Linked DNA regions of Callithrix jacchus. The protein of the gene in region 5 interacts with the protein of the main gene of each other region in a pairwise test. Links are inferred from orthologs where the notes say so. Each region holds a gene or a part of one and is shown on either strand. Other genes may lie near its edges.

Evidence for each region.
Region 1: the proteins of SDCBP (region 5) and ANP32B interact in binary tests that used the Homo sapiens proteins (3 or more experiments, as listed by UniProt). The two-hybrid records come from large-scale screens. The link is inferred for Callithrix jacchus from reciprocal best matches to the Homo sapiens genes SDCBP and ANP32B.
Region 2: the proteins of SDCBP (region 5) and EIF5A2 interact in binary tests that used the Homo sapiens proteins (3 or more experiments, as listed by UniProt). The two-hybrid records come from large-scale screens. The link is inferred for Callithrix jacchus from reciprocal best matches to the Homo sapiens genes SDCBP and EIF5A2.
Region 3: the proteins of SDCBP (region 5) and RIC8A interact in binary tests that used the Homo sapiens proteins (3 or more experiments, as listed by UniProt). The link is inferred for Callithrix jacchus from reciprocal best matches to the Homo sapiens genes SDCBP and RIC8A.
Region 4: the proteins of SDCBP (region 5) and CLK3 interact in binary tests that used the Homo sapiens proteins (3 or more experiments, as listed by UniProt). The two-hybrid records come from large-scale screens. The link is inferred for Callithrix jacchus from reciprocal best matches to the Homo sapiens genes SDCBP and CLK3.
Region 6: the proteins of SDCBP (region 5) and FTL interact in binary tests that used the Homo sapiens proteins (3 or more experiments, as listed by UniProt). The two-hybrid records come from large-scale screens. The link is inferred for Callithrix jacchus from reciprocal best matches to the Homo sapiens genes SDCBP and FTL.
Region 7: the proteins of SDCBP (region 5) and PYCR3 interact in binary tests that used the Homo sapiens proteins (3 or more experiments, as listed by UniProt). The two-hybrid records come from large-scale screens. The link is inferred for Callithrix jacchus from reciprocal best matches to the Homo sapiens genes SDCBP and PYCR3.

Annotation. Positions count from the first base shown.
Region 1 is NC_133502.1:146,138,947-146,142,446, reverse strand, and holds part of ANP32B (acidic leucine-rich nuclear phosphoprotein 32 family member B), read right to left. Parts: intron 3,258-3,500; coding exon 3,139-3,257; intron 2,110-3,138; coding exon 2,058-2,109; intron 1-2,057. UniProt on the Homo sapiens protein: Multifunctional protein that is involved in the regulation of many processes including cell proliferation, apoptosis, cell cycle progression or transcription.
Region 2 is NC_133518.1:16,140,956-16,144,975, reverse strand, and holds the start of EIF5A2 (eukaryotic translation initiation factor 5A-2), read right to left. Parts: upstream 2,801-4,020; 5' UTR 2,703-2,800; intron 2,001-2,702; 5' UTR 1,966-2,000; coding exon 1,801-1,965; intron 1,252-1,800; coding exon 1,147-1,251; intron 1-1,146. UniProt on the Homo sapiens protein: Translation factor that promotes translation elongation and termination, particularly upon ribosome stalling at specific amino acid sequence contexts.
Region 3 is NC_133511.1:131,723,590-131,727,694, reverse strand, and holds the start of RIC8A (chaperone Ric-8A), read left to right. Parts: upstream 1-1,305; 5' UTR 1,306-1,366; coding exon 1,367-1,450; intron 1,451-2,308; coding exon 2,309-2,356; coding exon of another isoform or gene 2,357-2,444; coding exon 2,445-3,035; intron 3,036-4,089; coding exon 4,090-4,105. Other genes in the region: BET1L (BET1-like protein), read right to left, coding at 291-309.
Region 4 is NC_133509.1:21,643,564-21,647,777, forward strand, and holds the start of CLK3 (dual specificity protein kinase CLK3), read right to left. Parts: upstream 2,801-4,214; 5' UTR 2,170-2,800; coding exon 1,726-2,169; exon of another isoform or gene 1,138-1,725; coding exon of another isoform or gene 1,117-1,137; exon of another isoform or gene 1-1,116. UniProt on the Homo sapiens protein: Dual specificity kinase acting on both serine/threonine and tyrosine-containing substrates. Phosphorylates serine- and arginine-rich (SR) proteins of the spliceosomal complex.
Region 5 is NC_133517.1:14,818,546-14,822,045, reverse strand, and holds part of SDCBP (syntenin-1), read right to left. Parts: intron 2,175-3,500; coding exon 2,013-2,174; intron 231-2,012; coding exon 55-230; intron 1-54. UniProt on the Homo sapiens protein: Multifunctional adapter protein involved in diverse array of functions including trafficking of transmembrane proteins, neuro and immunomodulation, exosome biogenesis, and tumorigenesis.
Region 6 is NC_133523.1:42,797,869-42,801,416, reverse strand, and holds FTL (ferritin light chain), read right to left. Parts: upstream 2,124-3,548; 5' UTR 1,920-2,123; coding exon 1,818-1,919; intron 1,657-1,817; coding exon 1,510-1,656; intron 1,094-1,509; coding exon 968-1,093; intron 796-967; coding exon 643-795; 3' UTR 501-642; downstream 1-500.
Region 7 is NC_133517.1:53,988,005-53,992,181, reverse strand, and holds the start of PYCR3 (pyrroline-5-carboxylate reductase 3), read right to left. Parts: upstream 2,801-4,177; 5' UTR 2,790-2,800; coding exon 2,699-2,789; intron 1,406-2,698; coding exon 1,341-1,405; intron 747-1,340; coding exon 567-746; intron 295-566; coding exon 82-294; intron 1-81.

The DNA.
Region 1 (3,500 bases), on a different chromosome or scaffold from region 5:
ATTAAAATGCATACTAATAACTTGAGCTAGTTGGGCACAGTGGCTCATGCCTATAATCCCAGCACTTTGGGAGGATGAGATGGGTGGATTACCTGAGGTCAGGAGTTCCAGAGTATCCTGGTCAACACGGTGAAACCCCATCTCTACCAAAAACACAAAAATTAGCTGGGCATGCTCGCACAGACCTGTAATCCCAGCTACTCGGAAGGCTGAGGCAGAAGTGCTTGAACCCAGGAGGCAGAGGTTGCCGAGATCCCGCCACTGCACACCAGCCTGAGTAACAAGAGTGAAACTGTCTCCAGCAAAACAAACAAACAAACCCCCTCCAGCTATCTAGCATGTCTTCAAGCCATACTCATTTTCAAGTGATTTTGGACAAGCTTAACCTCCTTAAGCCTTTTTCAACTGTAAAATGGGGACAATGGTACTGACTTTAAAAGGTTATTCTGTTAATTAAGTAACACACAAAACACTTCTAATATTAACTAAAAAAGGACTTTTTAAAAGTATTTATGTAGTCAAGACACAGGGACTTACACATAGACAAATCTTTTCACCTAATAAAATCCATGGTTATTTTAATGAAATTAACTGTATGTTGAATCATGTTTCATACAGGTTCTTTAAGGCAGTGACAAGGTCCTAACCAGGGTATATCTAGTATAAATGTAATCGAGAGCTTGACAAAGTGGATGCTGAGAAACCATGAGCCAGTGGCACAGTGAACACCTGATTCTCTGATACTCAACCATGAGACTTTTATTTTTTGGGACATTGTCTCGCTCTGTCACTCAGACTGGAGTGCAGCAGCGCCATTATAGCCTCACTGCAACTTCAACCTCTTAGGCGCAAACAATATATGGGCTCATGCCTATAGTCCCAGCTACTACTTCCTGAGTAGCTGGGACTACAGGCGTGCACCACAATGCCCAGCTTTTTTTTTTTCAGAGTCTTGCTCTGTCATCCAGGCTGGAGTACAGTGGTGTGATCTTGGCTCACTGCAACCTGCACCTCCTGGGTTCGAATGATTCTCCTGCCTCCGCCTCCTGAGTAGCTGAGATTTACAGGCACATGCCACCATGCCTGGCTAATTTTTGTGTTGTTAGTAGAGACAGGGTTTCACCATGTTGGCCAGGCTAGTCTTGAACTCCTGACCTTAGGTGATCCACCTACCTAGGCCTCCGAAAGTGCTGGAATTATAGGCATGAGCCATCACACCCAGTACCAGCTTTTTAAATTTTCTGTAGAGACAGGGTCTATGATGTCCAGGCTGGCAAACTTTTAATACTATTAAATAAGTAATGGCTATTTCACTAGTCTTGGTTGTGGTGGGGAAAGGACTAACACTGATCAAACTGGGAAAGTGATGTATCTATTTATATATCCTGAAAATTATGGTTCAATTATTAAATCTATTTTTAAAAAAATGAAATAACTCCAAACACAGAAACCTCACACTTGGCAATAAATCAAATGGCTTTACATCGTCCCTCCATTTAAAACATGGGGACCAGGCTGGGTGCGGAGGCTCATACCTGTAGTCCCAATACTTTGGGAGGCTGAGGTGGATGGATCACTTCAAGCCAGGAATTCAAGACCAGCCTAGCCAACATGGCGAAACCCTGTCTCAACTAAAAATATAAAACTTCACTGAGTATGGTGGTACATGCCCGTAATCCCAGCTACTCAGAAGGCTGAGGCAGAGAATCCCTTGAACCTGGGAGGTGGAGGCTACAGTGAGCAGAGATCATACCAGTGCACTCCAGCCTGGGTGACAGAGCTAGACTCCATTTCAAAAAAATAATAACAAAAAACCCCATGGGGACTGAAGACCAACAGGACCCTTGCAATCAGACAAGAATAACTGCTGTAGCAGCAGGAAGCCTGCACTAGCACAGACACAATAATGGGATGATACAAACAAGAATGTGAATGTGTGTGTAGACTGCCAGAGCCAAGGATATTTTATTTTCTTCTTGGTGGTATCAAATTCTAAATAATAGATATTTTCATCTAATTTTTAACGAGAATGATCAAAATGCATGCATTAGGCCCACCTTCATCCTCATCCTCATCTTCATCTTCTTCATCAAGTCCAAATTCTTCTTCCTAGAGAATAACAGTATAATATCAGATTAACTCTGCCAAATCAAGAAGTGCAAATAGTACAAATTCTGCCAAACCGAGAAGTACAAATAAATGCAACAGTATCAAGCAGGAAACTGTAATTTTATTTCTATCTACTTGGATGTACCAAGACCCACTGATTTTCCTCAATGAGCTTTATTTTACAATTTTTCTAAAAAAAAAAAAAAAAAAAATTTTTTTTTTAGAAGCAGTTCATTCGCTAGATGTTTAATTAGTATATAACTTTGGATAATTCAAGAAATGATCTTAAAATCTGAAATTTCAAAACAAGTTTAGACAAAAATTTCTTTCTATATCCCATTCATATACAAAGCTTTTTTCATGACCTTAATGTCAATCATACACCTAATGAGAGCACATGAACCCCAAGACTTATTTTTATACTACAAAAGAGCATGCTTTTTGCTAACAACTACTGTTGTCTGCATGTTTCCCAAAAACCTCTTTGAGGGTCAAAGTCAAGACACTGCTTTTTCCTGCCCTCGTACAGCATTCATTTCCTCAGGGATACTCTATTACTGGGTATCCCATAAACTAGACTATGTGCTTTTTCAGGGCAGGACCACAATCTCATTTAATTTTATACCCCTAATTCTTTAATATAGTGGGAATATATTTACTGAATATATAAGAAATAGTTTAGACTTTGTAAACATATACTTCCCTACAATTCAATGAAAGAACAGACATACCATCAATTTTGAACATTTCCAGTTTTCTCACCACCCTGAATACTCAACTCATTCCTTCCCCGGAGAGGACCAAAACTCACCTTGCACAGCCAGGAACCATACTAATTTGAGTTCAGAAGGCATTCCATTTAATAGTTATTTAAAGGCAGACAAAAACTAAACCAGATTCATATTGTAAATCTATTTACAGGTATACTAATTTCTTCAAAAGGTGTTTTTCTTTTCTTTGTCATCTTTTTTAAACTCCCACTTGTTTTAATTACAAATAGGAAGGAGGGTAGAAAACAGCTGCACTGACCTCCTCACTGACTTCATCGTCGTCATCATCCCCTTCTACATCTTCGTCTTCATCATCATCTTCATCAAACTCCTCTTCTTCACCATCCTCATCCTCCTCATCCTCCTCATCTTCTCCTTCTAAAAACAGTCCAAATGGGATTCATTAAATATCCCCAATGCTCCACAGGGCACAAGGTGTTGGGGATCTATGGGCTGGCTCACAGAACAAATGCTGGTAAGGCCACAAACTGCAGTCACTTTGTCCAACAGAGTCCCATAAAATCAGAAAGCTAGAAGTCCTGGTAGACAAGACAAACACTCTAATTCTCACTGGTGACATGATACAATGGCTAAGATTTGCTTCAAAATTATAAGGACTGG
Region 2 (4,020 bases), on a different chromosome or scaffold from region 5:
AGAAAGTGGCAGAACTAGATCCAAACCCAGATCTACCTCATTAAAAAACAAACAAAAAAACAAAAAAAACACTTGCTGTTATATGAAGACAATTCAAATTTCTACAAAGACTTCAAAGCAATCTAGAAAACATTTAGGACAGGTAGGAAAGTGAAAATATAAGTGTTACTAGATTGAAACTCCAAAAATTATGTTTGCAGGTGGACAAACAGCAAAAGAAAATCATTGGGTGCAGCTGATAGCAACATTAAAAAAATCTATATAATACAATAAAAGGTACAGAAAAAAGTCAGTTTAATTTGGATAAAACAAATCTCAGTGTCAACTCTGCATTTTTTACTATGTAAGATGAGCAAAAATGAGTTTGATATATGGTATGCTTGATACAAAAAGTGAAGACTTTCAAGAAAAGCTTTAGCTTTGAGTAATCTGAGCTTCCATATCCTATGAGGTCAATTATTTGGTTACCATCGATATTCCAAACACTAAGATGCTATCATTAAATATGACCTCCCCAATGTATAACTGAAACTTGAGGTTTACATATATAAGTTAGCAAAAGGTCACAGCATGGTCACTAAATATAATTAAACCATTTATATAGTTTTTGTGTTTTCTTTATCATACTCGGTGACCGTGTATTTTATCCTTTATATTTATGGGTTTCAGCTTATTTCCCTACTTAAGAATGTCAAGTTCTGACTCATGTTCATTAACATGAAAAACTTGGTAGGAACATGAATTTCAGTAGTTTCTTGAATGTCTTAAGTCTGATCAGTGAAAAGAAACAAAACATCCAGGAGGGAGCTATCTAAATTAGAAATATTTTACAACAGAGAGGATGGTACTTTTACAAAGCATAGGACTTAGCTGGAATATGCAGTCACTTGGCCTGAGGAACACAATAAGTATTTGACTTTTTAAAAAATGCAAGAATATGAAAAAATAGCAAGCTGGCAATAATCCTATAAAAGGAACACATGTTAAACATCATAATTTCTCCAATTTCTAAGATAGGTGGTGCCTAATACTTGGTTAGAAAAACCTACAAAACCACTCTTGGGTTTTGTCAAATTGCTGTTGATAGTATGAAGTATTTGTACCTTGAAGAAACAAGCAACATTCTAAAGAAAAATCAGTGCTTACTTGGTAATCATTTCTCTTAATATTTGGAACATCCATGTTGTGAGTAGAAGGACAAATATCTTCATATTTTTTGCCCGTGAAAATATCAATTCCAACAAGGTGAACCTAACAGAGGGGAACAGGAAACCTGTTTAATCTCTGCCAAGTATATCACTCATTACACACACAAGAGTACAATACCAACGCTGATTACGACAGGTTCTTTTTCTCCTCCTTCCAAGGTCATCTAATTTTACTTTCTTAAAAAAAAAAAGTAATGGTCATACAATTAAGATGCAGTAACAACTAAAGAGTATCATGACCTGCCAAGACCCAATATAGTCCAGTGATTCAATTATGAGTAGACAAGAAAAATAAAGTGTAGGTTTCTTAGAATTAGTAGAACAGGTTTTCTCATCTGTAAACTGAATAGACCTAGGTCACTACCATTCAAGAAAGTTTCAGTTCCCCGTTAATGAAACATTGTAAGGGTCCAAGAAAGGAATGCTACCTTTAAGTTTTCAAAGTAATAACTGATCACTCAGCAATTGTGGGACAGAAAAAAATAGTGCTTATTACAAAATTTTAAGTATAGTAATCTCATGATCTGCAACAGAATACAAATGAGCAAAATCCCAAGGCCGAAGCCAAAGCCTGAACAGCAAGGGCACTTACCTTGGCATGACCATGCTTTCCAGTTTTGGAAGTTGACATCTCCACTATTTTGCATGGTCGTCCTTTGAGCACCACAAAGCCGTTTTTGCGCAAGGCCGAGCACTGCATAGGGTAAGTGCTGGAAGCCCCAGCATCTCCAGTAGTGAAATCAATTTCGTCCGCCATGGTGGGTTGGGGAGGTGGTAGTTTTTCTGTGTGAACTACACAAAAAGTTTGTGGTTGCTTTTTAACAATGGGTGTGTAGGCAGGGAAACGTCTCATTTCGGACAAGTTATGTGCCAAGCATCATGGGCCTGTTATTTCTGCATGTATAGAACACCCACCCTAGACTAGCGGGCACTCTCTAACTCTGGCCTCTAGAAACTTTTCCAGCTATTGTTTGGGGAGGTGGGATGAGAAGTCGCAGAGGAGCCCGCAGAGGGTGGGGACATCCGCCCTGGGCGCTCCTCCACGCTGGAAACAGCAGGTTCTGGCGCCCATCGCCCCAACGCAGAAGCCGGCGACCTTCCCGCGCCACCCAGCTCTCCGCCGCCGCCCCGAACCCTACTGCGGGGGACCCAGCCCAGGCCGCACGTCCCCGCGAAGGATGCGGAGTAACAGGACCTGGCCGGCAGCACCCGGCCCTCTGCTAACGGGCGCGCACCGCGCCCTCCACCCTTCAGCGCCGCCGCTGCGGCCGCACAAGCGCCTCCTGTTCTGCCGGCATCCCCGGCTCTGCTCGGCTCGGCCCGGCCCGGCCCGGCTCGGCCCCACCAGGGCCTGAGCCCCGGCGGGTCCCGCGCTTGCCTCCGTTCCCCTATCCATTCTTCTTCCTTCCCTCGGTCAGCGCTCGGCTCTGGGCGCCTTCCCCGGCCCTGCCTCGCTCTGGCCCCATCCCCATCAGCTTTTCCCCAGATCCTCACCTTTCAGCTGGCTACGAGCGCCTTTCGCCTGCGCACCCGCGCAGGTCCCCCACAGCTGCGGCGCCGGCGGCGGCGGCGCTGGCGGCCGCGGCAGTTCCAAGAGCCGGGGCGGGGCCGCCACACTTTCCACACCCCAGCCTCCCCGCCCTTACCCGCCCCCACCCCAGCCTTACTTCCGGGATAGGCCCTGGAGCGTCACAGGCACCGCCCCCTCGGGCTACCATTGGCTACCAGGTTCCCGAGGCCCCGCCCAGTCACGTGAAGCGCGCCCTGGCAACCCCACGTGCTGCGGATTAGTGCACTTCCGGCGTGGAGAGCACTTTCAGCATTCTGGTTGCTTGAGTGAGCTCGCTGGCAGAGGAACTTGCGCCTTCCAACTCTTAGGTTTGTTGCGTTTGGGTCGCAGTCTACTTTAATGGGAACCAAGTGAGGCACCCGGTGGCCCGTGCCGTCAGGTACATGGCAGTTATCACGGGACGATCGTCGGCACTCGTGAGGTGCGCAGATTCAGTGAGTGCCAATGTGGCTGGCTGTGAAGGGAACTTTGGGTTAGAGCTTCTGGTTCAGCTTGCAGCCTTTCTTGGGGTTCGAAGCCCCCTCCTGGTCTTCGCAGAAGAACTCACGTGCAGTATTTTATTACCCGGCTCGGCACCATGGGTTCTGAGAACCTCACTCACCCCTTGGTGAGATTTTGGCATTGACTGCCGCAGGGTGCCCCTGTAGAGTCAGCACTGCTCCCTGGGGTGGACACTCCTGAAGCATCCGCCAGCTTACAAGCAGCAGTGAAATGACTTAATCCACTTCTCACACCAAAAGCTGTTGTGAAGTTGTGGAGGCGGAGCTTGTCTGACCCGTATCACATTGTTGGTCCAGACAGGTGTCCTGCCAACTCATCCCTTCTTTCCTCCTGGTATTGGCATTCCTTAGAGTTTGGGTTTTAACTCTGCCGTATTAGAACGCTTGGATGGTCTTCACAACTGACCTAGAGCTTGTAGACTGCAATAGAAAGGTTCTTAAAAGAGATGTGCTCCCCCTTCACATTTTTATTTCACAACCCACTGTGTCCTTTCTTGGGGAGGTGACCTAGGAAATTACTTCTCATTCCACACCCGCATTTATGTGGTACTTTGATTTCCTGTTACTGTCTTATGAATAATCTCATATCTCACATTCATATATGACTACAGTTTACACATATCTTTCAAACATGTACAGTTTAACTTTTACAGTAAGTTACTGCCCTCTCATATACTGAACTCAGCCTCTAGCTAATATATGAAACAGCCATTACAGCAGTGGCTCATGCCTGCGATCCTAG
Region 3 (4,105 bases), on a different chromosome or scaffold from region 5:
TAGGGCCTGGCCCCGGGACCTGCCGAATGCGGAGGCTCCCGCACCCCGAACCCACGCAGAACGATCTCACAGGGAATGGCGGAGAGTTGGGGGACCCCGCAGCTGCGCGACCCCTCGCTGGAGCGGCTAGGCCGCCCCCTCGGACCCGGAAGGATCCGAATCTGCCCCCGTGACAGGGTCCTCTCCGCCGAGGACAGTTTAGAGGCAGGCGTACGCGGCTCTGCAGGTAACAGCGTCGGCTCCGGCCGGGCCCGGCCCCGCCCCCAACGACTCCGCTCTCTGGCGCTCACCCCTAGCCCAGTCCGCCATGGTGCCTTCCCCGGCTCTTCAACGCCGACACCGACGCGGCAACCGCCGCCTCGGACGTGGCGCAGTCAAGGGGCAGGACTTCCGGCCCCGCCTCCGCAGCGACCACGCCCCTATATGCCCCTGCCCCTTCCGCCTTGAACTCGCTGACTTCCGGCTGAGGGCTACGAGTTGGGAACCGCCGGTCGCAGGAGCGCGGCACGGATGTGCCTTTCATTTTCCGCACCGTCCCAGGCTGGCGTGCAGTGACGCGATCTCGGCTCACTGCACCCTCCGCCTGCCGGGCCAAGCAGCCCTCCCGCCTCGGCCTCCCAAGGTGCTGGGATTACTGGTGTGCGCCACCGCGGATGTGACGTTTGTTGTTCCTGTGAGCGTAGGGCGGGGCGGGGCTGTTGGCTCGGTGCCAGGACTACGGTGTGGGATAGACGCTTCCGTGGGTTAGGTCCTAACGGCGGGGAAGGATTCACAGGCGCGTCATGAGGAGGGAGCAGGCCCCCCCGAGCAGGAGCCCTGTTCCCGGCCACTTCCTGTCGTCCGGTGTCAGCAAAAGCAGCGTTTCCTCGCTGCCCGTTTTGAAGCACAGCCTCGTGTCCTTTGGTGTTTGCTTGTGTGCCTTCCCCTCGGGAACAAAAGCTCCGCGAAAGCATGGACCTAGGAGTCCCGTTCGCCTGCGTTCCCCAGCAAACGCCTAACGAACCCGATGGCCCAGGACTGAAAAGTCCCCCACTTCGGCTCCCCCTCCACACCCCATCCGTTCTGTGGAGATCCAGGGGCGGCGCTGTGTGTGTGGCAGGGCGAGGTGGGGGCTGAGATCCTTTCCCGTTGGAAATTCCTGCCCAAGAAGCGCGGGTCACAAGGAGAGGGGTCAGTTCGGTCGAGGGCGACTCGGGTCTGGAAACCTTCGAACCGCCGCTTCGGCTCCAGGCCGCGCCCCCTGAAGGCGCCGCCCGACGCCGCACCCCGTCCCGGCCTCCCATGCGCGCTGGCGCGGAGCTCTCTGGGCCAGGGCGGGGCCGGCGAATTGCGGCCCGGAACGGCTGGGGCGGGTCCCGGGGGCGCCATGGAGCCCCGGGCGGTTGCAGCAGCCGTGGAGACGGGGAAGGAGGATGTGATTATGGAAGCTCTGCGGTCGTACAACCAGGAGGTGAGCCGCCGCCGGAGGCCGGAGTCGGGCACGCGTGGCAGGGACGGGTAGGAGAGCGAGGCAGGGGCTGTATCCGGAGGCCGGGGTCGGGCACGCGTGGCAGGGACGGGTGGGAGAGCGAGGCAGGGGCTGTATCCGGAGGCCGGGGGGGGGGGCACGCGTGGCAGGGACGGGTAGGAGAGCGAGGCAGGGGCTGTATCCGGAGGCCGGGGGGGGGGGGCACGCGTGGCAGGGACGGGTAGGAGAGCGAGGCAGGGGCTGTATCCGGAGGCCGGGGTCGGGCACGCGTGGCAGGGACGGGTGGGAGAGCGAGGCAGGGGCTGTATCCGGAGGCCGGGGGGGGGGGCACGCGTGGCAGGGACGGGTAGGAGAGCGAGGCAGGGGCTGTATCCGGAGGCCGGGGGGGGGGGGCACGCGTGGCAGGGACGGGTAGGAGAGCGAGGCAGGGGCTGTATCCGGAGGCCGGGGGGGGGGGGCACGCGTGGCAGGGACGGGTAGGAGAGCGAGGCAGGGGCTGTATCCGGAGGCCGAGGGGCGGGCACGCGTGGCAGGGACGGGTGGGAGAGCGAGGCAGGGGCTGTATCCGGAGGCCGGGGGGGACGGGCACGCGTGGCAGGGACGGGTGGGAGAGCGAGGCAGGGGCTGTATCCGCGAGCACAGGGGACACGGCGGCGTCGGGGGGGCCAGGTCCGGGATGCGATGTTGAGGGGAGAGTGTGGGGTGCACCGCTGGGTGGCAGGTGCGTAGGGATGGGGGCGCGTGTAGACCCTGCCATCCGTTCTGAGCGGTGGCCGCCGCCCATCAGCGGACGCGGAGCCTGCCCCTCTCTGGACTTGAATTCACTGTTTCTCTCTGCAGCACTCCCAGAGCTTCACGTTTGATGACACCCAGCAGGCGGACCGGAAGGTGGGTGCTGGCCCGAGGGGTAAAGGGGCAGGGACGGGTGGCCCCAGGAAGAGGGACCTGGTGGAGCCGCTCTTCTCCTTGCCCACAGAGACTGGCGGAGCTGCTGGTCTCCGTCCTGGAACAGGGCTTGCCACCCTCCCACCGTGTCACCTGGCTGCAGAGTGTCCGAATCCTGTCCCGGGACCGCAACTGCTGGGACCCGTTCACCAGCCGCCAGAGCATGCAGGCACTGGCCACCCATGCTGGCATCTCTGTCTCCGAGGGCTCCGTCCCTGAGTCCGCAGACATGGATGTTGTTCTGGAGTCCCTCAAGTGCCTGTGCAACCTCGTGCTCAGCAGCCCTGTGGCACAGACGCTGGCAGCGGAGGCCCGCCTAGTGGTGAAGCTCACAGAGCGCGTGGGGCTGTACCGAGTGAGGACCTTCCCGCACGACGTCCAGTTCTTTGACTTGCGGCTCCTCTTCCTGCTGACTGCACTCCGCACCGATGTGCGCCAGCAGCTGTTTCAGGAACTGAAAGGAGTGAGTCTGCTGACGGACACGCTGGAACTGACGCTGGGGGTGACTCCCGAAGGGAACCCACCCAAGCTCCTTCCTTCCCAAGAGACTGAGCGGGCCATGGAGATCCTCAAAGTGCTCTTCAACATCACCCTCGACTCCATCAAGGGGGAGGTGGACGAGGTGAGCACTGATGGCAACCCGTGGCTGGGTCTCAGCTCAGCTCCAGCATTTTCTGGACCTGCTTGCTTCCCACTGGGTACCTTCGGGTTTCTGAGTGTCAGACATGGAGAGGATAGGATCTCTCAGCCTATTGGGACAAGGCCAAGGAGATGCCAGTTTCGGGCTGGAACCTCAGGGATCCCCTTCTGGCTCTTGCTGCCTGGCAGGAGGGCTGTGTGGTGTCAGGGGAGACTGTAAGAGATCCTTCACCATGAGGCCATGAGTGGGGCTGACACACTGTGTGACCTCCCCAGGGAATGTGTTTCTACTCAGGGAGGTGATTTTTTTTTTTTTTTTCTGAGACGGAGTTTCGCTCTTATTACCCAGGCTGGAGTGCAATGGTGCGATCTCAACTCACCACAACCTCCACCTCCTGGGTTCAGGCAATTCTCCTGCCTCAGCCTCCCGAGTAGCTGGGATTACAGGCACGCACCACCATGCCCAGCTAATTTTTTTTGTGTGTTTAGTAGAGACGGGGTTTCACCATGTTGACCAGGATGGTCTCGATCTCTTGACCTCGTGATCCACCCGTCTCGGCCTCCCAAAGTGCTGGGATTACAGGCACGCGCCACCATGCCCAGCTAATGTTTTTTGTGTGTTTAGTAGAGACGGGGTTTCACCATGTTGACCAGAATGGTCTCGATCTCTTGACCTCGTGATCCACCCGTCTCGGCCTCCCAAAGTGCTGGGATTACAGGCACGCACCACCATGCCCAGCTAATGTTTTTTGTGTTTTTAGTAGAGACAGGGTTTCACCATGTTGACCGGGATGGTCTCGATCTCTTGACCCCGTGATCCACCCGCCTCGGCGGAGGTGCTTTTAAGAAGACAGAGGTGGTCATCTTTTGCCCCCAGCACTACCAAAGTCACTTAGGAGACCCCAGGGGGTCAGGCATGGAGTATGGGAGCTGCACAGTCAGTGCCACATATTCTTGGAGTGCAAGACAGTAGAGCCTCAGCAGGCAGCAGTGGGATGAGTGGGGCTCCTCACAGGAACCCTTCTTTCTTTGGTCAGGAAGATGCTGCCCTTT
Region 4 (4,214 bases), on a different chromosome or scaffold from region 5:
TCAATGGAGAGCACAATTTCAGAGTCATATAGATGTCCCCCTGAATCATGGCATGCCACTTCTAGCTGTGTGCCTTTCAGCAAATTATTACACTACTCTGACCATCAACTTCCTCTGGCAACAGGGAAAAGTAACCTCTTACGAGGTTCTGTGAGGATTAATTATGTCTGTCCCATAAGTGAAATGCCTAGTACAGCTTTATGCCCACAGAGGTACTAGTGGCAGCTTTTCATGAACACTTAAAAGGTTCCGGGTAACACTTCGGGACTGTGTTAAATGCCTTACAGACATTTTGTAAGTCCCTTCCAAGGAAGCCGGGAGGAGAGAGCTCTGCCAATAAACTCTCAACTAAAATCGAGGGCTGCCACATACCAGCCTCATGACTTTAGACAAGTCACTCTAGGCCTCGATTAGAATGCCTGGAAAATGGAGGTAACATCTCCCAGCCTGGCAAAGATGACAAGTATGAGAATTATAAAAGACCACACACAAAGCAATAATAGAGAAGATTATCCTTCCTTTAACACATTCTAGGCAAGTAAAATATTGGAAATAGTAGATGTCATCCTCCCAGCCAGGGCTCTATGGCCCATTTCTCAATTATCTCCGATTCTCTAAAATCTCAGCAAAAAGCTTGTTAAAAAAGTAGCTAAAGGCCACAATTATGCTTTGGGAAGCTCTGCTCTGCACAATGAAGAAAAAAGTGATGCAAAGGAAACCAAGCCAAGGATGTCAACTTTTCTTTGAGCACAGGCCTTGTCAGCTTCTCATTTGCTGTTCCTGGCCAGAGAACTGGGCTGACGAGAAGAGCAGCCAGCCAGGTCAGCGGCTGCCCTCCCGGATTCCAGCCACCCCAGCACCCGTGGTTATTTTTGGCTGGCACTGTCCTACCCCTGCAACCTCAAACCTGCCACTTCGCAAGCCTCCACCACCAACGGGTGAAACGCTCCTCCTTTTCAAGGGCATCAAGGAGGGAAGCTGGAAGGCCGCCAACTCCGCCTCGATGGGGACCTGGTTCAGGCAATTTCCACCTCAGCTCCACATCAGGGCACTCATACCCGGAACTAAAGCCAGAGACTCCCGGGCGGGACGGAGGTGCAGCCAAGGGATTTGTACCGTCAGCTTGGCCTTGCCCATCCCCCGGACTGGAACGGCTCCATCACCACAACAAAATACGCAGGGGGGCCTGCGCCCTCGTTCGCTTCCCTTCCTGCCGCCCCAGGTCCCAGGGGTCTCAGAGTCCCACCCTCTGTAACGGCCACCAGTGGCGCCGAGGGGAGAGCCGGGTACAGACCCGGAGGCAGAGGGAGGGCCAGACTGGGCCAGAATCAAACTCCAGGCCGCCAAGAGAGGAGTCGTCTGAGGACCAAGCGCGAAGCCAGGGGAGGGGAGGGGTCTGAAGGGCCTCTCTGGCTATTCCACCTCGGACCCCGACCCCATTCCGCGGGCAGGCGCAGGGCCCAAACTGAACCCTTAAGGAGCCTCAGAGGCCGCTTAGGCCCCGCCTTCAAAACCGCGGGATCCAGGTCAGGGTCTGCAGTGACCGCCCTCCGGTGGAGAAGCGGCGGGTCAGGGGTGAGAGGTCGGGGCCGCGGCCCAAAGTGGGCCGAAGAGGAGAAAGAAAGGGTGTAGGCCGAGACGAATAGCACCAGCGCGCCCGCCCCGCCGACTCACCCCCAGCCGCCGCCGCCGCTGTTGCCGCCCCGGGCCCCAGCCCACACTTACCGTCTTCCAGGCTCCAGCTGCTGCTAGGCCCCACTCCCCGCTCCGAGCGCCTCTTCCGCTTCCGGCTCCGACCTCCGCCCGTGGCGGCCCCGCCCCCTCGCGTGACGCAGCCGTCGCCTTCCCGGGCCCAACCCGGCTCGGAGGCCTGGCCGCTCTAGCCCCCGACTCGAAGGCTCCGGGGCACCAGCGCTCTCCGCTCCGGTGGACGCCGCGGCCTCGGAGACTAGTTCCGGGAGGGCCGAGGGGGCCGGCGCGGTGAGGCTCGCCTCCCGCCGTGTCGCGGCGCACGTAGGTCCCCGGACCTAACAGGTGTGCGGCCCGGGTCAGAGAGGCGCTCGAAGCTGAAAAGTACGGCCCCGACCCGGCCGCGGGACTCGGCCGGCTCTGCTGCCCCGACCCCGCGTGGTCAGCTAACTCCCTCCTGCGCGCGGAGAGGACAGGCATTGTTCTCGGAGCCCGGGAGAGCCTGAGAGCCCTCTGAGGTCTGTGAGCGGGGCCTCGGCAAAGCGGACGCGACTCTGCTTGCGCGAAACAAGAGAACGACTCATTATTGTCTCTCGCTGTGTGCCGGTTTTTTGAAAGCCGTGGCGGCCCGCCCCGCACTTTCTGGGAAAGCACCCGAGAGCCACTCTGGCGGAGCCTGCCTGAGGGGCCGGGGTCTCGGGGAAGGAGGTCCCCTCTCCTGGAGCCCCCTGGAGTGGAGCGGCTTCCTGCCAGCCTGCGTGGCCTCTCAGTTGAAGACTTCCCCCGCGGGCCCCGTCTCCGGGTCACTGGACAGTCCCCTTTTGCAGAGGCCTCCAGCGTGGGGTCACCAAACCCCGGACACCTATTGGCCCGCACGGGGATGGGGAGGATTAGGAGGCCCCACTTTCCAGATGAGAAAACCGAGGTGGATCTTTTGAGAGACCTCACTGTGAGCTTGCGCGCCCTGCCCAGTCTAGGGGTGACGCTTCCGTCCCCGGCCTCCCGACCGTCGCGCAGCAAAGTGACAGGGCGTGGCGCCTAATTGTCCCCACGCCACGCCAGGACTAGAAACCCGCAGCCGGGACGGACCAACCCTCCAGGCACCGCCCCCTCCTCAGGACCGCTGGGCGGGGCTCCAAGGGTTTCCCTAGCACCGCCCCAGCGCGCGCGCGAGAGCCGCGGCCCAGACCATACACTCCTCCTCGCGGGGCTGGGCCCTCCACGGACGCGGAGAGCTGTCGCTGGGGAGCCCTCCGCCCGAGCCGCGGCTGCCCCTCGAGTCCTACGCCAGCTGCTCGCCCTGAAACGGGGTCCCACGGCGTGACTTCTGGGGGTGTTTAGTATCCCTCACATCTCTGCCAGCTCCACCACGCTAACCGAAGTAAACAGCAGGAGCTAATTCAAAACTGGGTCCCTTCCCCAAAATTACAAAAATTAGCCGGAGGTGGCGGCGCGTGCAGAGGAATAGCAGGAGGGGGATTTTTCCGTGGTGGCGAAGCAGTTCTGTATCTTGATTGTAGCGGTGGTTAAAGGAGTCTACATATGTGATAAAATGGCACAGACCTAGGCACGTGATATTGTTGGATCGTGTTCTACACTTACACAAAATAGAACCTTTGGAGGAAACTGAGTGACGAGTACTTGAACCCTCTATGTACCGTCTTTGAAATTTCCTCTGAATCTGGATTTCCAAATAAAAGGTTAATATTTTTAAAGGTGCCTTAGAGAAAAACATGAATAATATTGATTGCACGCAGGTCTGGCGACACCTTTGGCACACTGAATGGCATCTCTAATCCGTGCCTTGCACGATTGCCCCTGGCCAGGCCCTGTCCTGGGCTAGGGCGTCCGCTGGAAGATAGGACTGCAGACTCTCTCCTGCTTGGCTTTGAGGTAGATGGGAGGCCTCCTCGCTGGGAGGCCGGACACACCCACCTCTGTACTCAGCACCTGACTCGCACCCGACTCTGTGGCACGGCTCCCCTGGAAGGCTCTGGCTGATGCAACCCTGGCCGGCTCTCGCACGGGAAAACCCGACCAGCAACCCACCAACTAATGGCGGCCCGTTCCGTCCCAATCCCGCTTCCCTGGAGCCAATCGGAGCACGCAGCTATTTCTAGTTGCTCACAGCCATAAAAACCCCACCCTGCCCCAGGAAGTCAGCGTGACTTCTCTGGCCCCCTTTCCCCGGACCCTAGAACCTCGCCCAGGAGCCAATTAAATTTCTTTATTTCAATAACTGGCCTCAGTTGCCTCATTCAAACCTTACAGTAGAGATGCCAGATACAATATAGGCCGCCCAGTGAAATTTAGATTCCGATAACAAATGGATAATTTTTTAGTAAGTATGTACCATGCGTGTTTAGGACATACTTACGCTAAACATTATTTCTCAATTCTTTCTTCATCGCAGGTGTTGATATTTCAATGCTTTCATGTGTGTATATAGTTACTTTAAAGCCACTACTTTAATGGAAACAACACACCAAAGCCTGTAGGGTACAACGAAAGCAGTATAAGACGGA
Region 5 (3,500 bases):
CAAAATGGAAAACTAGTCTTGAAGTTGAATTTGAACTGTTTAGTAACAGCTTACCTGTCACGAATGGTCATGGTAATCTTCTCGCCAAAGGCCTGTTTGAGCACCTTGTGCGCTTTATCAGAGCTCCACCCTGCACAGTTTTCACCATTGATCTGGAGTACTTGGTCCCCAAATCTCAGACCAACCAATGAGGCTGGAGAATTAGCCTGGACTAGCTGAACAAATATACCCTAGATAATAAGAAAATAAGTTTTGTCATTAACCTCTATTATGGTATGGTTCTAAAATGCTGGAAAATTAGGAAACAACTGTTTATGTTAAAAAAAAAAATCTACCCTGTGACAAAAGAAAGAAAAAACAGAAAAAACTATATGAGTGTAATATATCAAGTTATCACCTCAAAAGAAACCGAAACATTTATCAAGGCAGTAACTCCAAAGAAGAAAGCAGAAAAGTGAGATTTCAATGGCAATTTCTATACCAAATCATAACCCACCTGACCAACCACAACCCCCACCACTTTCAACTTGGAATACATAAGGAAAATAAAGGACAACTTTAATAAATGCAAGCATCTATGAGTCTCATAGAATACCAAATTATCACTACATCATCAGTCATATTTAGGGGACAAGCAAGTCACATGTTAGAAAGTTTGGTGAGTTCTTTTACAGCTTAATAAATGACAGTTTAAGGTCATAATTGTACCTTTTGAGCTGAAGTGTTCCTTTACCCATTTGTTACATTGTATAAAATCAGGTAAGATTAAAGTTTATTTGATAGCCTAAAAAGATGGGCATATTAAATCTACATGCACAGGCTTGTAAAGAACACACTATGAAATAAATATAGAAAACTCTAGTACTGTTAACCAGTAACTACACTTATATGGATAAAGTTACTTATGTAAAATCTCTATCAGAAATTGAACAAAATATAAATAGATAAGTATAAAAGAAGAATAAGACAGGTAGAATATAAGAGCATCTACAAGGCTAGACCCTTCCTACAATCCCAAACGAGGTAAGACATTTCTATCACACGTCTGTTACACTGTAGAGGGATAAGCAAGAATTAGGCAGCGCCCCATAAATGAACCAACGCGCTTGGCCAAGTGAACAAATCCACTCCAAGTGTTACCTACAGTGGGGCCAAGGGGTCTGTGAAAAGTATCTTTTCTCTTTAGGACAGAGGAAAGAACACAAGAGCAATCCTGGCATAAGGGGCAGCAATATACTGTATTCCCTGAAGAGAAAAGCAGAAAGGGCACCAAAGTCAGAGCATCCCAACCAAGCACGCAGATGTATTCTGAATAAGATATAAGTGAACAAGGCCATCAATGGCCTCAGCCCCCTGGGTGGGCAGGTGGGGTTGGGGCTTCCTGCCAAGATCAGGCTTCTCCATTTACAGCAGTGCACTACGCTAGAGATGTATGACTGAAACTGAATCCAGTGAGGTAATGGCTAAAACTATAAATCGGGGTAAAGACTCAGCATGTCCTTAACAATTCTAAATGGTTCCTGAGAGTTTCATATCTTCAGTATGGTAAAGTGAGAGGTAAAGTAATCATAAAGTCAAGTAATAGCTGCCCTAATTAGAAAAAAACTTTTACTCAGAAAATGACATATTAAATTCAAATAACAGTAAAAACCATCTCACAAATACTGATTGGTTTAAAAATGCACACATGTTGACATCAACTCTCATTGGTCAGTTTTTTCTTAACCTTCACATCTGCTCTATTTAATTGCCACAATTCTATACAAACTACATTATAATATATGTAGGCCAGTGAACTGTATTCCAGTTAGAGTACTCAGAAAAGAAAAATGTCTTTTAAAGTAATGTGGTCAGAAGTCCCAACTCTGCCTCTGCAAAAGAGAACATCCCCAATTGAACAAAATTTGTATATTTAAAATATTCTCAACTATAGATACACCATCATAGTTAAAGCATTTCCATTTCAAATTATTTTAACATTAGTCACTTATACAGGTATTAAAAATACTTACATTATCTATTGATTTAAGCCTGAGACCAATTTTTCCATCTTGATCCTTACACAAAATGACTTCACGAATCCCTTGCTTAATTTCTGCTCTACGAATTCCAACATCGTTACCAGTTACAGGAGCCACCATATAGTTCATACTGGAAGGTCTTGCTACCAACTGCTGACAAAACCATATACGATGTGTAAATATTTAGAATCACTCTCCTCGAAAAAAACAATGATAATTAACTGGAACATACTCAATTATGGCTTTCCAAAAAGCAATCCACAAATAATTTCCTTCAGATAAAGTTTTATGTCTATGAAAATGGCACTGGCTCCATTATTAATTCTTCATTAACTTATTCCCACATATATCATCTCTAATAGATTCAATGATTCTCTGTTACCTTTTGAATTCACTGACATTTGTTTCACTGGTACATTGGCTTGTCTTCATCTCAAATGCATTACCTTTGAACTTAAAGGCCACATGCTTGAAACACATTTTCCAGAGGATTCTTTTATATGTCATGATCTCTGACAATCTACTTATCCTTTCAGAATTTCCAAAAAGGGACAACCTTCCTACTCAGTGTTACTGAGAAGGCTAAATGAAAAGTGCGTATGTGTATGGACCTGGCACAAGTAAGACAGTCAACCATTATGTCTTCTCCCCTCTAATGACCATCTATGGATTAACAAATCACAGGCATAAACCAGAATGCCCCAGAATACCTATATTAGGGACCTGTGTCAGGTACCATGCTTCAAGTTTCTAATTTTTTTCAAGTTTTCCTGACCAAAATTGGTTTCTTATTTTAAGTGGAACCTTTCCCCAATCAAAAAGAAAATGGAATAATATCAGGCTATCAAAAAAAGGAAATCTTGACATTTGGGCACATGAATAAACCTAGAGAATATTATGTCAAGTGAAATAAACCAGACACAGAAAGACAAGTATTGTCTAGATCTCACTTATATATGGAATCTGAAAAGAGTCAAACTCACACAAGTAGAGTTACCTTCATTCTTTCCCCTGTCCACGTCAGGGGCTGGGGTGGGCAGGGGAAAGAATAAGGGAAATGTTGGTCAAAGTGTACAAACTTTCAGTTATCAGTACATTCTAGAGATCTAATGTACAGCATGGTAACTATAGTTAATAACACTGTACTGTATACTTGAAATTTGCTGAGAGTACCAAGTGTTCTCACCACACACCAAAAGAAATGGTAACTACGTGAAGTGACAGATATATTAATAACCTTGACTCTGGTAATGATTTCACGGTGTGTGTGTGTATCGATACATCAAGTTGTACCGAAATACACAGTTGAATATAAACAATTTTTATTTGTTAATTATACCTCAATAAAGCTGGGGGTGGGGTGGAGATCCAGATGAAACATCAAGAGAAAAAAAGTATGTGAAATGAAAAATTCACTAGATGTGGAGAGTTAACAGAAATCTCCAGCAACAACTTAAAGTAATTTAAAATTAAAAAGAA
Region 6 (3,548 bases), on a different chromosome or scaffold from region 5:
CTTTTTTTATTCTTTTTGGTATTTTTAGCAGAGACAGGGTTTCACCATGTTGGCCAGGCTGGTCTTCAACTCCTGACTTCAGATGACCGACCACCTTAGCCTCCCAAAGTGTTGGGATCACAGGTGTGAGCCACCACACCCGGCCATGGCACACAATATTTAAGAGATTGGCATGATGCCTGGCCTCACCATCACCCATTAAATAGGGCTGTTTCTGGCTACTGAGACCTAACAGATCTGTTTCCAGGGACCAACCTGAGTCTTAATTCAACTCCCTGAATTCTATCTCTACCATCTGGTAGGGACAGTTAACAGCCAGGCAAGCAGAGAACCCTCAGGCTCAACATAACCCACAGACAGCTCTTGTCTTAGAACAGATAAGAAAACCGGAGATGCAGCCAACGCCTTTTTCGCTGCCATCCCAATCCAGCCAGAAGCTTTATGAGAACAGATCCCACCTCATCTTCTGCACCAACCACACCACACACAAAACCACCAGCTGCTTCAAATAGCTTTATTTCCATTTGGTCCAAGGCTTGTAAGGGTAGTTAGAAAGCTGCCTAGTGGCTGGAGGGAGAGGCTTAGGCAGAAGCGCTGTTACTTTGCAAAGGCCCTTCCTAAGTGGCCGGGCTCAGCAGGCTCTTAGTCGTGCTTGAGAGTGAGCCTTTCAAAGAGATACTCGCCCAGCCCAGCCTGTGGGCTGGCCAGCCTGCGGAGGTTGGTCAGGTGGTCACCCATCTTCTTGATGATTTTCACTTCCTCATCTAGGAAGTGACTCTCCAGGAAGTCACAGAGCTGAGAGAAAAGAGGAAGAAATTAGAAACCCAGTCCCTGGAAAAGAGGGAGAGCTCCCAACTGCAGATTGAAATGTGACAGGTGTGAAATGTGGCTCTGAAGGAAATCTGCCCAAAGGGAGGCAAGGCTTGAGGGGTATGGTTGGGTAGCGATGGATGCAGTGGGTTCTTACATGGGGGTCCGTGCGGGCAGAACCCAGGGCATGAAGATCCAAAAGAGCCTGGTTCAGATTTTTCTCCAGGGCCATGGCGGCTTCCATGGCGTCCAGGGTTTTACCCCACTCATCTTGAGCCGGCTTCTATACAGGAGGGAAAGTGCTCAGAATACACACACCGGCACAAAGAACCAAAGTGACATTTCCCAAGAGTCGTTGGGGATCAAAAGGACATGTGACCCTTGTATTTATCACTCCGAACTCCGTCCTTTTTTTTTTTTTTAAATGGGGTTTCACCATGATGGCCAGGCTGGTGCCACCGCGCCCGGCTACTCCGTCCTATCTTTTACAACGACATCTATAGAAGACCACGCAGCGGTGTGGACTGCCGCATCATGGGGGCACTGCACGACGTGAGACACCATTTCCAGCTGTTAAGAACGCTTACAAAACCGAACTCAATCTCCCAGAAGCCCACGCGACATCTAAGCCCACAAGCCAAGGCGCCTCGCGCGCACGGACTGCTGGGAGATGTAGTCCATTACCCTCAAGCCAGTTACCTTGATGTCCTGAAAGAGAGCGCGGCCGCCACGCTGGTTTTGCATCTTCAGGAGACGCTCATAGCCCTCGCGTTTCTCCTCGGCCAATTCGCGGAAGAAGTGGCTCACGCCTTCCAGAGCTACATCATCGCGGTCGAAATAGTAGCCCTGCGGGAAGAGATGGAGGGAACAGTGGTTAGCGAGAGGCGAGGCCAGGGGGAACTCCGCCCTCTGTTTACCCGACCGGACAAAGAAAGCCGGCGCCTGCGCCGAGGGCCGGAGGTGCGCAGTTGGAGGAAATTAGGGCCAGGGGCGTCCCGGGGACTCACCAGAGAGAGGTAGGTGTAGGAGGCCTGCAGGTACACATTGACCAGGTGGTTGACGGCTGCCTCCACGTCGGTGGAATAATTCTGACGAATCTGGGAGCTCATGGTTGGTTGGCAAAAAGGAGCTAACCACAAAAACGGTGTTAGCAGGTTCCCAGAAGCAGGAGATGACCGAGAAGATGGTCCCGGAGGTTGCAACTGGAGAGGAAACTGGAGGGCGGTCGGAGGCTGGAAGAAAGAGTCCCCGGGATCTGTTCCGTCCAAACACTGTTGAAGCAAGAGACAGATCCGCGGGACCGCCGAACTGCTATGGGACGTGGCGAGGGCGGCTCCCTTTATAGTGCGCGGGCCCTCGGGGGCGGGGCGTTCGGGGCGGGCGATCGGCCAATCTGCGGTGGCAGGAGGCGGGACCGAAGGCCGTGCCTGACCAATCCGGAGCAGAAAGGAGTCTCAGCCCCCCGACCCGAAGCAGGGCGAAGTCACGCGCCTGTAACCCGAGGCTGTTGTGAAATGGGGGATGGGGGTTGGGGGCCCTGGGCCTGCTTCAGGGAAGTGAAGGGTTTCATGAGCGGGGTGAGGGTCCCTCTGGGAGCGAGAGTTGTATAGGAGCATTAAGAGCCCTGTGAACTGATGAGCCTGGGGTCCTGGGGTGTCTCGGGAAAGTAAGTCAGATTCTGGGGTTTCCGAGGGCATGGATTTTTTCTGGAACCTTGAGTCTGGAGAGGGGCACCTCAGAGGCGCAGAGAGGATCTCTAGTTGTCCTAGGTTTGCGCTGCGAGATAAGGGGGTCTCGGGATCCTTGGGAAGTTTGAAAGGCTGTAGGTGAACCCCTGGGGATCTCTGGGAGACGGAGGGTTGGGGGGACTGGAGCCCTGGGGTTTACAGAGGCGAGGGTTTACGATGCAAAGTCTGTATTTTTTTGGAGCCCTCCCAGAAGAGATCTTTACGTCTTTGAGATTCTCTGCAGCTTGGAAAGGGCAGTTGTTCTGGAGCCGTGGGGTTCACCCAGTGCTGGAAGCCCGGGAGGAGCATTGTACCAGGTGGGGTGACTTCTGGAACGGTGGACAGCCTTCTGGACCCTCCCAAGATTGGCTGGGCCTTTGGGGATACCTTGGAGCTCTTTCAGGGGCCCAGTGCTTTCCTGGGAGTGGACACAGGGAGGAATGCAATGTCTCTTTCGAGCTTTGCAGTGTCTCTGGGGCTGCATTTCCTGGGGGCTGTTTTGAAGCCAACCCCCTGGCCTCGAGAACTTTGAGAATTCTCCTTGGCCCTGAAACAATCTCTAAAGTTGCCCCAGTGTCTTGGCTGACATGTGCTCCTTCAGGCCCACCAAGAGAAGCTCTGCGTTGTGGACCGATGGACGAGACATCTGTCGTCGGCTGATGCGGATTTTTTACGTGGGCCTGGTCCATGCTGATTTCTGGGAGACAGTTGGCACAAACATTGACCCTACTTAAGCGCCCTGATCGAGGCAGCCGGTGCGCTGGGCAGGGAGCTGAAGCCACTGGGGTGTGGGGTGTGAGATCAGGTCCTGCCCTACCGAGAGCCGCTCCGAGCAGCCCCGGCGGGGCAGCCCCTGACCAAGGGGATCTGCAGATGCCCGGCCGGGCCGCTATCTGGGGTCCTTGTTGCAGGCAGCGGCTGCTGGGCTGCTGAGTCATGGTGAGCTCAGCGCAGGAAGGGGCTCCAAGGGGGACGGATGGGGGTGGGGCCACTGGCTGACCTCATCCCCTT
Region 7 (4,177 bases), about 39 Mb from region 5:
GAGGGCAGAGGCCATTAGAGGGACTTGGGCAGGCCTCTCTTTACTAAGGGTAGGGCAGGGGACGGACAAGGCAATACTCACAAAGGCCACGCCACTGCCACTGAGGCCAGTGTGGATGTCGATGTAGGCTTCGGGTACCTCCTCACACCGCCCACAGGCCTCCAGCAGATGCTGCAGGAGCTCGGTCTCGCTGCTGCCTACGTGGCGGCCCCGTGTCATCACGATGGCCCCTTCCTGGACCATGCAGGGCAGGTTGGGCAAGACCCGCAGCACCCGTGTGTGTGGGGGCAGCAGCTGGCCAGAAAGAGGTTAGAATCAGGGAGCCTGTGGGACTGGGCCCTGCTGGGCAGGCATCAGCAGGGGCATCAGGAAAGGTCCCCATCAGCTAGCTGCAGGCTCCCGCGGCTGCCTCCCAGGTACAGCACCAGGAGGGAAGCTTAACCTCAGCCATCGCACCCAGCTAGGCCACCTGGCCACCTCTCAGGCTCTCTGGAAGGCTGCCTGCCACCCAAGCTGGCCAGCAGAGCCTAAGCTGGGACCAAGGCCTTAGCCCAAGGGATACTCACCTCCTCCAGGGTGCTCAGAGAGACCCCAGCAGCCACGGACACTAAGATGTGTTCAGCGGTGACCACAGGAGCCACCTCTGCCAGAACAGCTGGCAGGATGTGGGGCTTGGTTGCAAAGATGACGAGCAGGCAGCTCTGCAGCACTTCCTGGTTGGAGTGGGTAGTCCGGCAGCCCAGAGCCTGAGCCAGGGACACCAGGACCAGGCCTCAGGGGCTGTGTGAGCAGCACACCCTCCTCACCACAGCCCTTCCTGCTGGTGGCCACACATTCCCAGGGTCCCAGGGCCTCTCCCATTGCAAGTGTCTAGACCACCCCCATGTCACCAGTGCCCGAGATTCACCCAGACTAGACCTCCTCCTCACAGGCAGTTCTGATGTCAGCACCTCCCCAAGCCCTGAGCCCTCCATCCCATGAATATCCGTGGCCACCATCCCAGCATGCACACACACACGTGCACACGCACGCACTCATGAGCACGCACTCACATACACACATGCACACACAATCACACTCACATGCACATACGAACTCACACGTACACACATACATGCATTCACGAGCACTCACAATGCACTCATGTGCACACACGTACTCACATGTGCACACACGTGGTACACGCACACACACACTTTGCTATGGCTCTCCACAACCTCCCTTTCCCCAGTCCAGACCAGCCAGTCTCCAAACTTCAGCTAAATAAGCCACCCATCCCTGGCTCTGGTAAGTGTCTTAGTTGGACGGGAGCTAAGAGTTATCCTGCGCTCTGTGCTCACTTGGAAGTGACATAGGTTCCTGTCTGTCGGTGCACTGGCCAGTATGTGCTGAGCTTCCACTTTTCCTGGAAAGGAAAAGGAAGAGGGGTTGAAGGGGTAGGGTAGGATGGCAGTGAGGAGAGGGAGGAACTCGCCTGGCCTCTCAGGCTCAGCCACACCTGGCCCATCATGGGCCCCCTTCTGGCCTCAGGAACCCAAACCAGGGATGCGCCATTCACTGGGCCCAGGCACTCAGATCCACTGACTCTACTTGGCAGTCAACGTCCCTGACTGCTGCTGGGTATGGAGGCCAGGAGCTTGCCTCGTTGGTGAGGACACAGATCCCTGGGGCCTCTGCCTCCAGGGAAGGGAAGGCTGCCTGAGGAGAAGAGGCAGTACTTCTAACACCAGGCTTTGGAGGAGTGTGGAGGGTACAAAAGCAGCTGATTTATGGCCACAGAAGGCCCAATGGGGGCCCAGGTTCCTCGGGAGGGAGAGTCTGTTGGGATGTCCACGAAGAGGCTAAATGCCTACTTGGTAGAAACATGCTTTTGTGGAGTACAGGGGTGGGGAGATAGGGTTAGATTTTGGTAAAGTCGAACAGGAAGACAGAAGTGTATACCACAACCTGAACGCAGCTACTAACCATGACAGTGGCAGCCATACACAGCAGTATTAGGCTCAACACTACACATATACATCTAATTACCCTGTACAGCTCTGGGAGGCATGTAATACTGCCGGGTTTCACAGGTAAAACTAAGACCTCATAGGAAGCTATTTTCCGATTCATCATGACTCCTCTGAACCCTGAAATATGGCTGAAGGCAGAGAGCCAAGAGTCACCCAGCTCTCCCCCAGTCTGCAGAAGGGCTTCTAAATGCCTGGAGAAGTATATGATCAGCGCAAACATCCCGGCTATAGAGCCGTGGTTCCGCCAGAGATGATTTTGTCTGTCTCCTCCTCCCACCCAGGGTGCATTCGGCCGTGTCTGGAGGCACTTTTGGCTGTCACAACGTACGGGTGCTACTGGCAAAGGACGAATGGTGTCACTAGAGCCAAGGTGTCTGCGGAGAAGCCCTGCTGTTCCCCAGAGAGGGGCTGGTGCACAGAGAAAACCAAAGGCTGGGAGACATGAACCTGGCTAAGGCCACGCGGCCAGGAAGCCGGCCACGGAAGTGGCACCAAGCCACGTGTAACTCAAATCTTCCCACAGCCACGTGAAAAAATTACGAGCAAACAGGCGTGTCCCCGGCTGAGCCCAGCGCAGCGGAGGCCCGGGTGCCTGGGCGCGCGCCCTCCGCCCCAATCTCTCGGAAGGAAGCCTCCCACGGGGCTGTCCCACGCCAGGCCGCGAGCCGAGCTCCGCGCCGCCCCACCTGCTCTAATGAGGCCCTGCGCGATGGCCCCCGCCATGCGACCGGCGCCCACGAAGCCCACGCGCCGCGGAGCCTGCCCTGTAGCCGCCATCTTGTCGCACTGGCCGCCGCCGCGCTGGCCGCCCATCCACAGGCCGCGCCCCACCCACAGACCTCGGCCCTACCAATGGGACACGCCTCCCCGCCCCCCCCGCCGATTGGCTGCCGGGACCTCACGCTCCGGGCCCGCCCGGCTTTTTGTCCGCTCTCTACTGGTCCGCAAGGCGCGGAGGCTCTGCCTCTCGCTGCTTATTGGCCCGAAAAGGCTATCCCCCCTCCCCTCACTGCCCATTGGCTGAGAGGAACCGAGGGTTGGCGGGGCGGGCGGGGCAGTAGCGCTCGAGCTGCCGGGGTTGCCTGGACCGGTCCCAGGCGCACGTGCGACGAACAGATCTTCGTTTTTCGGAGGGGAGGGGTTGCGAAGCGGATTACGGGGCTGGTCGGGAGCCTGCGGTCCCTGAGGCTCCACCGACCACAGACGGGGGGCCGCGAGGCGGCACTAGGGGCGGAGGCCCAGGTCACAGAATGCTGGCCGGGGCCAGGGGAGGGGCCGACGGGGAGGGGAGGGGGACAGTGGGGGAGCGGAGATGCTCGTCATTGTTTTTGTTTTTTGAGACGGAGTCTCGCTCTATCCCCAGGCTGGAGTGCAGTGGTGCGATCTCAGCTCACTGCACTTATCTCCCAGATTCAAGCGATTTCCCTGCCTCAGCCTCTGGAGTAACTTGGGATTACAGGCGCGGGCCACCACGCCCGGCTATTTTTTGTATTTTAGTAGAGATGGGCTTTCACCTTGTTGGGCAGGCCGGTCTTGAACTCCTGACCTTGTGATCCGCCCGCCTCAGCCTTCCAAAGTGCTGGGATTACAGGCGTGAGCCACCGCTCCCGGCCGTCATTTTAATGATACAAGAAAAATTAGGTTTGAAGATCTGAGTCTGGTTTTGTTTTCGTCGTCCAATCTAAGGCTTCATGTTACAGACGTTTTGTTGTTTTAGTCTGAAGACTTTGGCATTTCCTGAACTCTTCAGTAGTTAAATCCTCTCACTGATTCAACATTTACTGTGCAGTTGCAGCCTCTGGGCCCTGCCCTAGGCCTGGGCAAGACCACCACACAGCAGCAGATGGGACAAGCCAGATCACAGCCTACCGCCCTGTTTGTTGGCAATGGAGACAGAGCAGTCGGCACATGCAGGGGATGGCCAGGGTGTCAAGGCTCTGAAACAAATGACGTGGAGCGGGACAGAAAGCCACCAGGAGGCTGCTTCGGCCACCACAGCCAGGAAATCTGGTGGTGCAAAGCATCCGCTTTGCACTAGCTCTCAGTGCCAGCAGCTGTCTCTCCTGCCACCCAGGATCCTGCCAGCCCCTTCCAAAACAGACCCCCTGGATTTTCTCCCAGGCCAGTGATGGCTTGGGACCAAGTCTGTGGAGGTGAGAGGGGCC